Linked DNA regions of Medicago truncatula. The protein of the gene in region 1 interacts with the protein of each later gene in a pairwise test. Links are inferred from orthologs where the notes say so. Each region holds a gene or a part of one and is shown on either strand. Other genes may lie near its edges.

Region 1 (7,131 bases):
ATCATTTGACTCAATTTTTAATCAACAACAACTTAGCTCATGTATTCATGGGTGATAATTTTAGAGACGTCTCCAAACCACTATTTACAACTTCCAACCAACAACTTTTAACATTGTATTAACAAGAATACAATGAATAGAGCTTATTTGTGGCCATTTCTTTTTTATTTATTAGGATAAGAGTGGATGGGAGGAATGTTTGAGAATTTAGATGATTTGCCCACTCTCTCTTGGACGACAAAGGTTATAGCTGCTGGCTAGTAAGCTACCATATGGCAATGTTGATCCCGTATGTTACTGTTTATAAATCATGATGTGTCTTAATTTTATTATTTGAAAGAGATGTGTCTTAATGCATTTATACTTGGAAAATGACATAGATGACTGGTGGATGATCCCGGAAAATTGACTTTGTTCTGCTTATAATTTGACTTGATACCAGTAAACGATTATACTACTATTGTTCATTTGGATTTTGGATTAGTCGACCTTTGAAGTTTCAAAAAAGAAAATAACCGTCTTGCTAAAGTCGTTATCATCAAAACTAGTACGTACCTTTATCCATTAATTGGTTGTCGTCTTGTCGATAATAGTAGTTATCATGGGCGAATTACTAACGACCTTGACGTTATTACTTTTTAGGTTCGTTAAATAAATGATGTATGTGATCTATATTAAAGGTCACATACATCACTTATTTAATGAATTTAAAAAGTAATTTTTTTCCTTTTAATTGTGACTGAAGAGAATACTTTTTTTTATTCATCGGTTCTTGCATTTACCTATCACATTTTGCTACCAACATTCAATTTTATTGTCACTTAAAAAACATTGAATTTTTGTATTGTGATGTGGATTAATTCCTGTCAGTCCCATTTCTTTTTTGATGAATCTAAGTAAATTTCACCAAATCAATAATTTAACTTCCTTTACATTCTTTTTTAGTTTCACAATATAAAGGTTGTGATTTTGAATTTAATTTAAAGACTGATCTAATATTTCTTTTTGTCCATAAAATGAGTGGTAAACGTCATCTAAACATTTTTGTTTAACAAACAAAAATGAGATATATTACCACAATGAAACGGTTCTACTATCTAGCACAAGGAGTGCATAGAAGAGCAGAACAAAAAACAACAAGCATCTTGAATAGTACAAAAAAAGACAGTCAACCAATGCCCAAACATGCAAGAGGTTGCTGCCACCACAAATGGTAACCAAAAGGAAAACAAACTTTTTTGGCTTTCAGCCAATTCCATGAAGTAATTTTGACCTTTTCCATGAGCTGCATAATAGATGTTAATTTGTTGGAAAACAGTCTGTTATTCCTTTCAGTCCAAAGCACATAAACCGTGAATAACCAAATAAGCTGCAAAAACGATCGTCGGATCGGGGTTTAAAACCTCCCGAAGAGTAAGCAAATTGGTGAAAATGATCCATAATATGTTGGGGATCCACCGTATCCACTCAAATCCAAGTTTTTACATGATGCCATAACTCACCAAAAGTCGGGCAGTGAATTAAAAGGTGATTTGTTGTTTCGTTATTACCACAACCGAACACACATAAATGAGAATCAAACGGAATAATACCACGTCGCACCAAATTATCCTTTGTAGGCCACCTGTTGCGAAGAAGTCACCACACACAAATTGAAATCTTCAAAGGAGCATTTTTATGCCAAATTGCGTCAATAACTTCATCGTGATTATGCATCTCCTGCCTCATAAGCATTTGATACACACCACAGACTGTGTATCAATCTACCACATTAGGACGCCACTGCCATATATCAGTAGTAGTTTCCTGCAAAATAACATTAGAAAGCAAAGATATACATTCCTTCATTAGGTCCTCCTCCCAAGCCAACCACCTACGCCGCCACCCCCAAGCATCTCCACCTTCCTCCCAACCTAATAAACACATTTCCGCCACCGTCTTTTCCTTATAAACTGATAAATCAAACAACCTCCTAAACCTGTCCCTAAGTGGGACCGCCCCCACCCAACAGTCGGACCAAAAATAGGTTTTAAAGTCATCTAAACACTTACACACACAAAATATTAAGGCTAATTTAATTTATACATTGTCGATTGAGTTGGGTCACATACAAAATTGATTTGATCTAATCAATTTGAAAGGAACATACATGATTTATTCACTATATATACTCATTTATTATAAAAATAATAGGCAAAATTACTCTCATCATCCATTAAGTTAATTTGAAATAACAATTTCATTTTTTATTTTTTTCTCACGTTATTTTCGTTCTTTTGGTCAATTGGCATATAAATTTTCAAGATTCAAATCTACGATTTTATTTCGATATGAACCCTTACTCAAATATATAGTTCTTTACTCATGTTTTTTTTTTGTCAAGTAGCCTAGTAGTTAGAATTCACATTTTTCAAGGTGAATAAGTGGGGTGTCTAGGGTTCGAACTCCGGCCCTAGCATATAACAATGCATGTCCTTGTCAACTAAGTTATGCTTACGGTGACATTTTACTCATGTTTTTGTTAATAAATTTTAAATTAGTTGATCATTTTTTTAAAAAATACAATGTTTTTTAATAAAAGTCAGACGGAAATATTGATAATGAGCTGGCCCAAAGCTCAATTCAATAGACCAGCCCCATCCCATTTTTATATGGGCAAAAAATGTTCGAGTACATTTTAGATTAGCTTTTTAAACCTGTCCCAACCCAAAATGTCGATTAATGGACTGACCTATTAACTCGTCCCATTTTTTACATCTCTATTTACATAAAGATAAACAACAAGAACTTACCAAAGAAGAAATGTAAAATAAAATAAATTAAGAAACCGAATTTTTATTTTTATTTTTTATAAAAAAAAAAAAAAAAAAAAAAGGAAGAAATCTTAAAGGATAGGAAACCCGAAACCGATTAATAATGCAGTTGAGTAGTATATATGGAGGCATTTCCTTTGAGTCAGTAACGTTACAGTGGTACACGAGGCATGGGCTAATTTGATGAAAGTTTATTTATGTCAGACAGATATATTAGCTGTGAATGTGATCTAAGAGATGAATGTGATATCGAGATATAAACAGTGTCCACCAATTAAAAACAAAGGATATGATGACATGGCATTTGTGTTACTTACTTAGCCGCATATCACCAAAACTTTGAGCCTTTGCACGTGACACCCATAACTTACTCCTTTCTCCATATCCAATGTATGGGACTTGGACCCCATCCAACCAAATTCATCCACCTCATAATTAAATAAAAATTTTATTAATAAATATCTTAACTTTTTTCCACTACTTTTCTTTAGTTAGCAATTTTTTATGTTTAATTATTGTGGGTGGGGAATTAGGACTTAAAACTCAATGATTTATGAACCCTACATGTACCAAAAAAATAATTATTGAACATTGTACCAAAGTGGTGTTAAAAGAATTGACAATATGATTCTTTTTAGGAAAAGAAATTGAGTTTAACTTCTAAAATTGTTCATATAAGAGGTAACACATTTAGATAAAAATATAGATGTTTTTTTGTCGATTTGAGAATGCGGTAATACGACACGCTTACAAGTTAAATATTGTTAGAAAAGCTATCTATTTAGGAGATAGCATAATCTTGATAAAAAAAAATGCAAATACTTTATTGCGAGAGTTAAGTAATACGATGCACTTACGAGTTAAATATTGTTTGAAAAAGTCGTCTATTTAAAAGGTAGCACAATCTGATAAAAAAAACATATGTTTTATTGCGAGAATGTGGTAATACAACGCGCTTATAAGTTAAATATGGTTAGAAAAAAGTCATCTATTTAGGACGTGACACAATCCTAATAAAAAACAAATGCTTTATTGCGATAGTCCGGTAATACGACGAACTTACGAGTTACATGATTAAAAAAAAGTTAATGACCCCTATTAAAATAAATTTAAATTAAGAGCCGACATGAAATCTAAGATGGTAAGTGAATTGAGTGATGTTAGAGAAAAAGGAAGGAAAGTCAAGGAAGCAAGCAGTAACAGTAACTACCATGTTTGTTGTTTAATTAAGTGTATGTGTTATCATGCATTATTTAACTTTCTTTTTTTTCTTATCTATTTTAGGAACAAAGCCAAACAATCAACTTGCCCAAATTAGATATTTTTTTACATATACTATTATAATAATAAAAACAGCACCAAGTAGATGGATGCTGGTGTGATGAGTGAATCTATCTAAGTGTTGGATGATGATTTGATTTTTATATTCTTTATTTATCTTTATTCATTTCATTCCTTCCCATCTTCACATGGGGGGCACCATAAAAAATTGATATATTATATAGTATTTATGGCATGATGGCGGTCCCTTCTCAGTCACAATTGTGTGCTGAATTATACTGACCTTGCTTGGTTGGAGTTGTGAAGTAGAGGCTCCAGCTGGGTGGGAGACAAACAAGGGCGGTGCTTGCTGCTGCTGCTGCAGGTGCAGGGTATGGTATGGTAGTCACATACAATTGGTTATTTTAACCCTTCCTTTCTTGTACTTACTCTTTCACATCAACCAAGTTTTTCCCTTCCAACAAGGTTAGTTAGTTGTTATTTGTTCTTGTCTTGTTGAATTTGCTTCATGTGTTTCTGTTTTGTAAAAGGAAAGAGATACAATTGTTTGATGATTGTAATGATGGATTTGTTTCTGACTTGTTTGGTGTCATCATTGTTTATAGAATCAACTGACAGTACTAATCAATTTTTTTCTGAAAGTTATGATTATTAATGATTACAACCAATTTTTATACTGTCATCTTTCACTTGATGTGTGAGTTTTGTTTATTTTCTTCTATGATTGGGTCACAACTCAAATTATAACTAATTAAAACCTTACATAATTGTTAGTATTATGATTGAGAGTGCTGATTGAACCCTTAACATGTTTTATGAGGAGAGTTACAATTACAAAGATTGACATTCAAGTAAATTAGTAATAGACTTCAAAAGTTCTGCAGTATCACATATGCTCAGTGATGATTCTTATATGGTTTGGATTAACTCGGTAGTTATGTTGTTGTTTTTTTTTTTTAATCATTGTAAATGCAGTTTGTGATAAAATGTCGACCACAAGGCCTAGCCAATCATCCAACAACTCAGGGAGATCAAGAAATAGTGCTAGGATTATTGCTCAGACGACGGTAGATGCAAAACTTCATGCAACTTTTGAGGAGTCTGGTAGTTCCTTTGACTACTCAAGTTCGGTGCGCGTCTCTGGCTCAGTTGATGGAGAGCATCAACCGAGGTCCAACAAAGTAACAACAGCTTACCTCAATACAATACAAAGAGGCAAGCAGATCCAGCCTTTTGGTTGCTTGCTAGCTTTAGACGAGAAAACGTGCAAGGTTATTGCATACAGTGAGAATGCACCCGAAATGCTGACCATGGTGAGTCATGCTGTCCCTAGTGTCGGTGACCACCCTGCCCTTGGCATTGGAACTGACATAAGAACTATCTTCACCGCACCGAGTGCTTCTGCGCTACAGAAGGCACTGGGATTTGCGGAGGTTTCGCTTCTTAACCCTATCCTTGTTCATTGCAAGACTTCTGGGAAGCCATTTTATGCGATCATTCACCGTGTTACAGGTAGTTTGATCATTGACTTTGAGCCAGTGAAGCCTTACGAAGTTCCCATGACTGCAGCAGGCGCATTACAGTCTTACAAACTTGCTGCTAAAGCAATTACAAGATTGCAATCTTTGCCTAGTGGCAGCATGGAAAGGCTTTGCGATACAATGGTTCAAGAAGTTTTTGAACTAACGGGTTATGACAGGGTGATGGCTTATAAATTTCACGAGGATGATCATGGGGAGGTGATTGCTGAGGTAACAAAGACAGGCCTAGAGCCATATCTAGGATTGCACTATCCGGCCACAGATATTCCCCAGGCTGCGCGCTTTTTATTTATGAAGAACAAGGTCCGTATGATAGTTGATTGTCACGCAAAACATGTGAAGGTTCTTCAAGACGAAAAACTCCCATTTGATTTGACTTTGTGTGGTTCGACCTTAAGGGCCCCACATAGTTGCCATTTGCAGTATATGGCTAACATGGATTCAATTGCTTCCTTGGTTATGGCTGTAGTAGTCAATGACAGCGATGAAGATGGAGATAGCGCTGATGCAGTTCTCCCACAAAAGAAAAAGAGACTTTGGGGTTTGGTAGTTTGTCATAACACTACACCAAGGTTTGTTCCTTTTCCTCTAAGGTATGCTTGTGAATTTCTGGCTCAAGTATTTGCCATCCATGTGAACAAAGAAATAGAATTAGAATTTCAGATTCTTGAGAAGAATATCCTGCGCACACAGACGCTGTTGTGCGATATGCTGATGCGAGATGCACCCTTAGGTATTGTATCACAAAGCCCTAATATAATGGATCTAGTGAAATGTGATGGGGCTGCACTCTTGTATAGAAACAAGTTATGGATATTAGGAGCGACGCCGAGTGAACCTCAGATAAGAGAGATAGCTTTATGGATGTCCGAGTACCATACGGATTCGACTGGTTTGAGTACGGATAGCTTGTCTGATGCAGGGTTTCCAGGGGCTCTTAAACTTAATGATACTGTATGTGGAATGGCAGCTGTTAGAATAACTTCAAAAGACATAGTTTTCTGGTTTAGGTCGCACACCGCTGCAGAAATCCGATGGGGTGGTGCAAAGCATGAACCTGGCGAACAGGATGATGGTAGGAAGATGCATCCAAGATCATCATTTAAGGCTTTCCTCGAAGTTGTGAAGGCTAGGAGCATACCATGGAAAGACTTTGAAATGGATGCTATTCATTCGTTACAGTTAATACTGAGAAACGCGTCCAAAGATACAGATATGATTGATTTAAACTCAAAGGCAATCAATACAAGACTAAATGATTTGAAGATCGAAGGGATGCAGGAATTAGAAGCAGTGACAAGTGAGATGGTTCGATTAATTGAAACAGCAACAGTGCCTATTTTGGCAGTGGATGTTGATGGGATGGTCAATGGTTGGAATATCAAAATTTCCGAGTTGACAGGTCTTCCGGTTGGCGAAGCTATTGGAAAACATTTGCTCACACTTGTTGAGGATTCTTCAACGGATATAGTTAAGAAGATGCTTAATCTGGCACT
Region 2 (7,146 bases), on another chromosome or scaffold:
ATTCACTCCCCCTTCCACCATGAAACAAATCACCCAATTGTTTAGGTCACTAAAGAACCTAAACTGTTCTTTATGGTTGATTTTTGGATTTCTTCCATCGACAACACTATTGAAAGCACACCAATTAAAACGTAGCACCGACTAAGTCACTCCTATGTACCACATATTTGGTAAAAGATACCATTTTTATTTGCACTGAAGAATATTTTGAGCTAGGAAACTTTGGTTTAGTGTTATTAGCACCAGAGAGGTGAACAATTATACACTACCTAGACTATTTTTATGGCTTTTGGACAGTTGTCAACAGAAAAACATAAATATACCAGATTGTTTAAAATACTTTTTTAACAAAAGGGTGTTTCATGATGATTGTCTAGACTCAGAGTTATCTGACTATCAAGTATCCAAAAGATACTGTAAGTTTTGTCTGCATGCAAGTATCTGGGATCTTTTATCAGCAGTCTTGGCCTTTCACATTTTGTTTCTTCCATTTTTTTGTTGGGGCGTGATCTGCTTATTTGTCTTTATCAGAACACAAAAATACTCAGAAGTGTTGCCTTTCCTTAATTATCACTTATTACTTTCTTTATATATGGCTTTTATATATACTGTTTCATCTTTGTTGTGGAATAGAACTCCACACCGTTTGTGATAATGCAGTACTTGATATTTTTGCCATGGTTATCTAAAGAATTGCTGCATATAAAAAGAAGTCTGCCTGATGGAGTTGCTCTTCAGCTCATGCAAGAAGAATTGTGTGCTTCTTCAAGATTTATAGCATGTAATGACTATGTGGCCCTTGCGCACGCCGATCTTCACTCGGTATTGTCTTAATTGTACATCATAGATTTCTTTTCCAGGCCACTATCTCATTCTTGTTTAAGACAGGTTGATTTTGATAGAGTATCATTTACTGCCATATATTGTTCAGGATGCTAAGGAATTAATCACAGATATCCTTGGGATAGAAGTTTTCAAGCCGGAAGATTATTATAGTTTTTTTTCTGGAAGTTACTGTGCCTTATCCAACATAGGTGGTTTGGTTAGTACACAAGACATGTTCTCTTGAAAAGTTAAAATTTGTAATTCAGGTCTTTTGACGATATACTTGCTGCAGATCCACCCTCATGCTTCCAAAGAAGTCTTGGATGAACTTTCTGCAGCTCTTGGAGTTCCTTTTGAAACTGGGACCGTCAACCGAGGCAGCCAAGCTATAGCTCCTGGCATGACCGTAAATGATTGGACAGCCTTTTGTGGTTCAAGCACCACAAGAGCAGAGCTCTGTGTGATTGATAGAGTTTTCAAGCTGAGGGAACCATTATGAATGTTGGATGGGACGAGGAAATTGCTCATTAGTAGCTACATTGAGTTTTGGTTTTAATACACTCTTCATCGTGATGATTTCCCGAATGATATGGCAAGCTAATGTCCCTTAGATTTTAAATTAATTTGACCACCGCTTCACCAAAACAAAATTTTAAGACCAACACGCCGTGATTTCCGGCCAGGCAAACTTTCTTTTCGCGACCATATCGTGATCAAATTCTTCTAGATATATAGCATTACTCAGAATTTTTTTTTTTTTTTTTGGGTCATGTTCTATTGTAAATTGATGGTGTACAGATTGAATTTCTTGAAACATGCGTTCTTCATTTGCCATTTTTTTTCTTCCCGTTACTATTTTACTGATTTTGTTAGGTTGGATCTGTGAGGTTTTTATACAAATTGATTCGTGAGTCCAATCAATGTTTTAAACTTGCTGTCATGATTCTAAATTGGCATTTTCATAAATTAGCACAATAAAATGTTATAATAAATATGTAAGGAGTTAACATGTGACAAATTAGTGATAATCATGAAATCATACATCATAACCTTCTAAACTCGAATATGCAAACCAATGCCATAATTATAATACACATATGGGTGTTCTGGAATTAGGCATGGTAATGGGGCGGGGTGGGGACGGGTTTTACATTCCCCGTTCCCATACCCGATTCTCATATACTTACCCGTTACCCTACCCATATCCAACGGGGATGAGAAATTGAACCTCATGCCCGTCTCCGACGAGTTCGGGTATCCCCGTCCCCGCATTGAATAATTTTTTTAATAAAAAATAGAAGTTTTTTTTTGTAACCCCTAGAGAAATTTTGTAATAAATTATCAACAATATGTTCACTTTAACATTTGTTAGACCGATTGATTTAGTTTCTCCTTTAAATATCAATGTTAGTTTTTATAACACGACAATTATCAAACAAAATAACATGGCATATCAATATAAATTAGTTTTTTTGCATTTGGGACGGGTTTGGGTATGGGTTCGGGGTGGGTACATATATACCCTTTACTCGTCCCATACCCGTGTTTTTAAATTGGGGAAAACCCAAACCCATACCCAAACCCAATCAAAACAGAGAAAATCCGTCAAATTGAGTTTGATTCGGGTGGATAACCACGGGTATAGGTTTTGTTGCCATGTCTGGATGTTTTTTATGAAGAAAAAATTAGTGTTTGGTACCCTGAAGTTACAACTTCAATGGTACCCATGTTAATCCTAGGTGGAACTGACTGAAGTCTCTGTGGCTAATTTTTCAATACCCCACCAGCAGTTTCTTCTTTGTTTGACACGGTACAGGCATCAAACATGTTTTCAAATCAGTATACCTGAAATTAAGTTAGCAAAAAATAAATATAAAACAACCTAAAAATAAAATCCTTTAAAAAACCTAAAAATAAAATAAGTGCTTGATAATATTAGTTCAGTTGGCAGGGACATGCATGATTATATGCAGAGGCCGAGGTTCGAACCTCAGACGCCCCACTTATTCACCTTAAAAATGGTGAATTCTAGTCACTAAATTACATGATAAAAAAAAAAAAGTATTAGTCTGTTGTATAGGTAATAAGAAGAACAACTAACTATTTTAAGTAACGGATAAGTGTAAATAAACAATTAAATTATATACAGTTGGAAGTGACCCGTTAGATTTAAAAATGTGTATGTTATTCTATTTTATATATGGCCATTCATTTTTATGATCTAAGCACATGAATGTTTGATTCTGCTTATTTCTATGGTTTTTCACTGATTTCTCTAAATCAAAACAAATAATTAGTTCTGCCATGGTGATAACGGTGTAGCAAATTCAATTAGCCTCTATCAATGCAGAAAGCTAGTGAATCTTTCTAGTTTGAAACTATCCAATTAATCTCGGTAAGTTACAAAGATACTAATGACAGTTTATGATGGTAGCCTTGCCCAACAAATTTTTTTTAGAGTTATATTTTATTTCTTTCAGGTGGTTTTATGCTTGTTACATGGTACATCAAAAATGAAAAACATTTTGCAGGTTTGTTTTCATGTTCATGAATTCATTTGACAACATATAATATACATATGCAAAATAATTGTACATTAATTAAATTCAAAAAATAAATATTTAAGTTTCGTTACCTGTTTTGTCCAGTCTATTAGAGTCTAAAACATATCTTATCAACTATGTCAACCTTCATTTGTCTCTTTTTGTATACAAGTGATATGTGTAATTATTTATATTCGTATACAACTGATATGTTTATTTATTTTACAGGGACCACTTTGCATTTTCACTATGGACAATGTTAACCAATGTTCCCGGAGTATTGGTTAAGCAGCTAAAAAGAGGTAAGATTTAATTAAAAAGTGATGTAATAATTAGTTAGTAAAAAATAACAGTTTATATTTTCAAGATATTTTTTTTAGTTTTGGATTCATTAACCAGTGTCCCGTTAATAAGACCTTTTTTACTATTTTTAATATTTTGTTTAGAAAAATATAAAAAAGTAAATTTGAGAAAAATAATGGTTTAAATATGCAAACTGTCCCTGTAATTTAAGCGCATTTTGATTTTCATCCCTGTAAAAAAAAAATTAATTACATCCCTGTAAAACAAAAATTATTAAAAATGTCTCAGGCCCCACTTCATTGGTGATTTGACAAAATTTTATGCCACGTGGCCCAAAACCTTGCCAAATCACCAATGAAGTGGGGTCAGGACATTTTTAAAACAAATTTTTTTTTTTTTTACACGATGTAATTAATTTTTTTTTTTTTTTCAAATTTACAGAGACTGTTCGTATATTTAAGCCAAAAATAATTTTATGTTCTGATTTCTTCTCTTTGGTCTTTGATTCAAGCACAAGCATTGCGATCAGTCTTCTACATCTACAACATGCCTGTGAGAGTAGCATTGGAAAACATCACAACCCCTTCTCACGTTTCAGGTATAAACATATTCTTCATCTTCTTCTTCTTCTTCGTTTCAGTGATTTTTTTGTGAATATTATTGTTGTTGTTTTCAACAATCTTGTTTGATTTGTTGATGTTTTAGGTGCAAATTCAAGGCGTAATTCATTCCAATCTTGTACTCTTCTAACTGTTGGTCAGGTACTTTCTTCATTTTCATTTTTTTTTATTCTTTTATGCTTTGTTTCAATCTTCAACAAAATGGGTATAGAAAAAAAAAAAAAAAAAAAAAAAAAAACCCTTTTGAAATTGGGTTTCTTTGTTTTATGTTTTTTATGCATTTATTTCAAGTGGGTAAGTCATGGAACATTGGTGACTTATTGTTTATTTAATATTCCATCTGGAAGAAGAAGAAAACATAATTTTAGTGGAAATAATCATTTTAGGTTTGATCAAAGTGATATTTGCTTTCAATCTATGAAGCTTTTATACTGAAAAAATTTCGCGTATACACGTATCCATATTGTGTTGCACCTGCTCGTGTATTACGTATCTGGATTTCATAGGTTTCAATATTGGTAACTATAATTAACTTCTGCTGATGGGAATATATCAGTGATAGTATTAATGAAATTGAAATGTAATTGAGTATTATTTGTTTTTTTCATTGAATCATGAACGAAAGCAATAAAAACATCATTACAGCTTGAGATTGGATTCATTAGAATGGAGGATTGAGTGAATGGTTTGTGTTATGTGCGACTACATTGTGGTTCGAGGAAGACTTTTCTATTTCAATTTTCATAACGGATTAGGAGCTGATTCAATGGTTCTGAAGTTTCTGGAAATGTAGCCAATTGATAGTTTTAGTGAATTTTTTAGCCTAAGATGTATAGCCAAATTCTGGTTTTGGTGAATTTTGAAGCCTGAGATGTATTGGCTGGTCCCTAAGCCATTCCATGGTTTGAAAGGGAACGGAAAAAAAAAAAAAAAAAAAAAAAAAAAAAGAACCCAGCTGTACTGGTTGTATAGCTTTATAAATTGTCGTATAAATGTATTGTATGTGCACCTGTGCCATATATATACCCGATATGTGATATGGCTCTAGGTTTTGGCCTAAGCCCAACAACTAAGCCGAATAGGGAAGTTAGTTACTGATGTGGCATTAGAGATAGAGCCCACTAAATTCTGTTAGTGAGTAGGAATATAGTAGACGGGATAGAATTAGAAATGATGACATTAGAGTGAGAGTTGGGGTGGCACCTATAGTAGAAAAGATGGTAAAAACTAGACTGAGTGGTTTGTGACCTGTGGATTATGTAGTTAGGAGAGTAGATCAGATGGAAGGGAGTTAGATCACCAGAGCTAGGGGTAGACCTAGAAAAACGACAAGAGAAACTATTAGGAAGGATCTAGAGGTAAATGAGTTAGAGAAAGACATGGTTTTTGATACAACACTATAGCGTCCTTTGATTCATGTAGGCTTGGTTGTTGTTGATGTAGCCGACCCACTTAGTGGGATAAGGCTTGGTTGTTGTTGTTATTGTTGAGTGGGAATATCGTGCAGCAGGGGGAGTGAAGGAATCATTCTGGTTTATTCGGAGAATGTCTTCTCATGTAGGAGCTTTGCTCTGGTTTATTTCCCTTCCCGTTGAAGATCCTTTGCCTCTAATGCTGCGTCGGTAACTTTTTTTTAAATGGCAAATATTAGTAGTTAGTTTGTTAGATTAATATTTTCTCCTTTGTCCGGGTTTGAACACAGGCCCTCCAACTCCTTTTCCCTTTGCTGTGTCAGTAACTAACTTCCCTATTCAGTTTAGTTGTTGAGTTTAGGTCCAAACCTAGAGTCCTCTCAGTATGTTTGTAGCTTGCTGGTTTCTGAAGCAATAGATACAGAAAACAACTTCAAATTTTAAACCTCTGAATCACAACATGCTTTTACTCTTTCAGCTAGTATATCTTATTGGACAGAACTTACATCCTGTACAACCGCATTTATAGTTGACACTAGATACTATAAACCTATCATATGAGAACATGTAGCTTATTTGTTCCAATCATATAAACACCGTATTTCAGTATTTTAAGAAGAAAAAAAAGTCAAAAAACACACATGAGGATGTTTTTGCAAAAACATTGATGTTAAGGGAGTAACATCGTGGTTTCATTTTGCTACGGTGATACAAATCGACCTGTTCACTGCTGCTTTCTTCTAGGATCTTTGTTCCCATATTCGTTTGTGAGGTCTCTCACGACTCTCCCTATCGCGCTCTTCCCAAAGTTGTTTTTACTGCCATGCTACTGGGGTTTCAATCCCATTCATTATTTGAAGTATAATAGACGGAAAGGCTTGGTCAATCCAGGGAAGTATAATTAGAAGAAAAAAAATTGGTTAATGGAGGGATCAAGCAAATATCATGAATGGGGACGGTTATAAGACATGATCTCTGAAGTGGAGGGATTATACTCTGATCCATTTGTAACTGGTGGTTTAATTGTTTTAAAATTTGAGGTTACGTGTTACACCTTGATTGGTTAACACGATAAGTAGGGCTTATAGATATAAGTTGTCCTATATTTACAGGATGTTTTATATTTTCAGGCCTTTTCGGGGACGCAGAATGTTTCAAGCTTACAAAAGGATGAAGCATGGAGGGTAAATGTCCGTATACAAGGATGTGACCTTGAGCATGGATATCTATGTGGCACCATGGAAGCTCTTAATGTTCCTATGGCAGACACGCCAGTAAGAAATTTCTCTATAGTTCATTTTTCTTAAAAAGGAAATAAAGAAAAAGAAACCACTTTTTTCCTTTAGAAAATATCCATGTTTATGAGCTCTCTCTAGTTCAGTTTGAACTATTTGTCACAAATTGAATCTGTAAGACAACATTAATCGTATGTAACTTTTTTCA

Evidence for each region.
Region 2: the proteins of phytochrome A (region 1) and glucose-induced degradation protein 4 homolog interact in a two-hybrid assay, tested with the Arabidopsis thaliana proteins (3 studies listed by BioGRID). The link is inferred for Medicago truncatula from reciprocal best matches to the Arabidopsis thaliana genes PHYA and AT2G37680.

The regions. Positions count from the first base shown.
Region 1 is NC_053042.1:41,897,628-41,904,758, reverse strand, and holds the start of phytochrome A, read left to right. Parts: upstream 1-4,116; 5' UTR 4,117-4,559; intron 4,560-5,069; 5' UTR 5,070-5,080; coding exon 5,081-7,131. UniProt on the Arabidopsis thaliana protein: Regulatory photoreceptor which exists in two forms that are reversibly interconvertible by light: the Pr form that absorbs maximally in the red region of the spectrum and the Pfr form that absorbs maximally in the far-red region.
Region 2 is NC_053045.1:6,954,797-6,961,942, reverse strand, and holds the start of glucose-induced degradation protein 4 homolog, read left to right. Parts: upstream 1-4,122; 5' UTR 4,123-4,217; coding exon 4,218-4,269; intron 4,270-4,376; coding exon 4,377-4,432; intron 4,433-6,833; coding exon 6,834-6,977; intron 6,978-7,146. Other genes in the region: eukaryotic translation initiation factor 6-2, read left to right, coding at 692-822, 932-1,042, 1,118-1,324.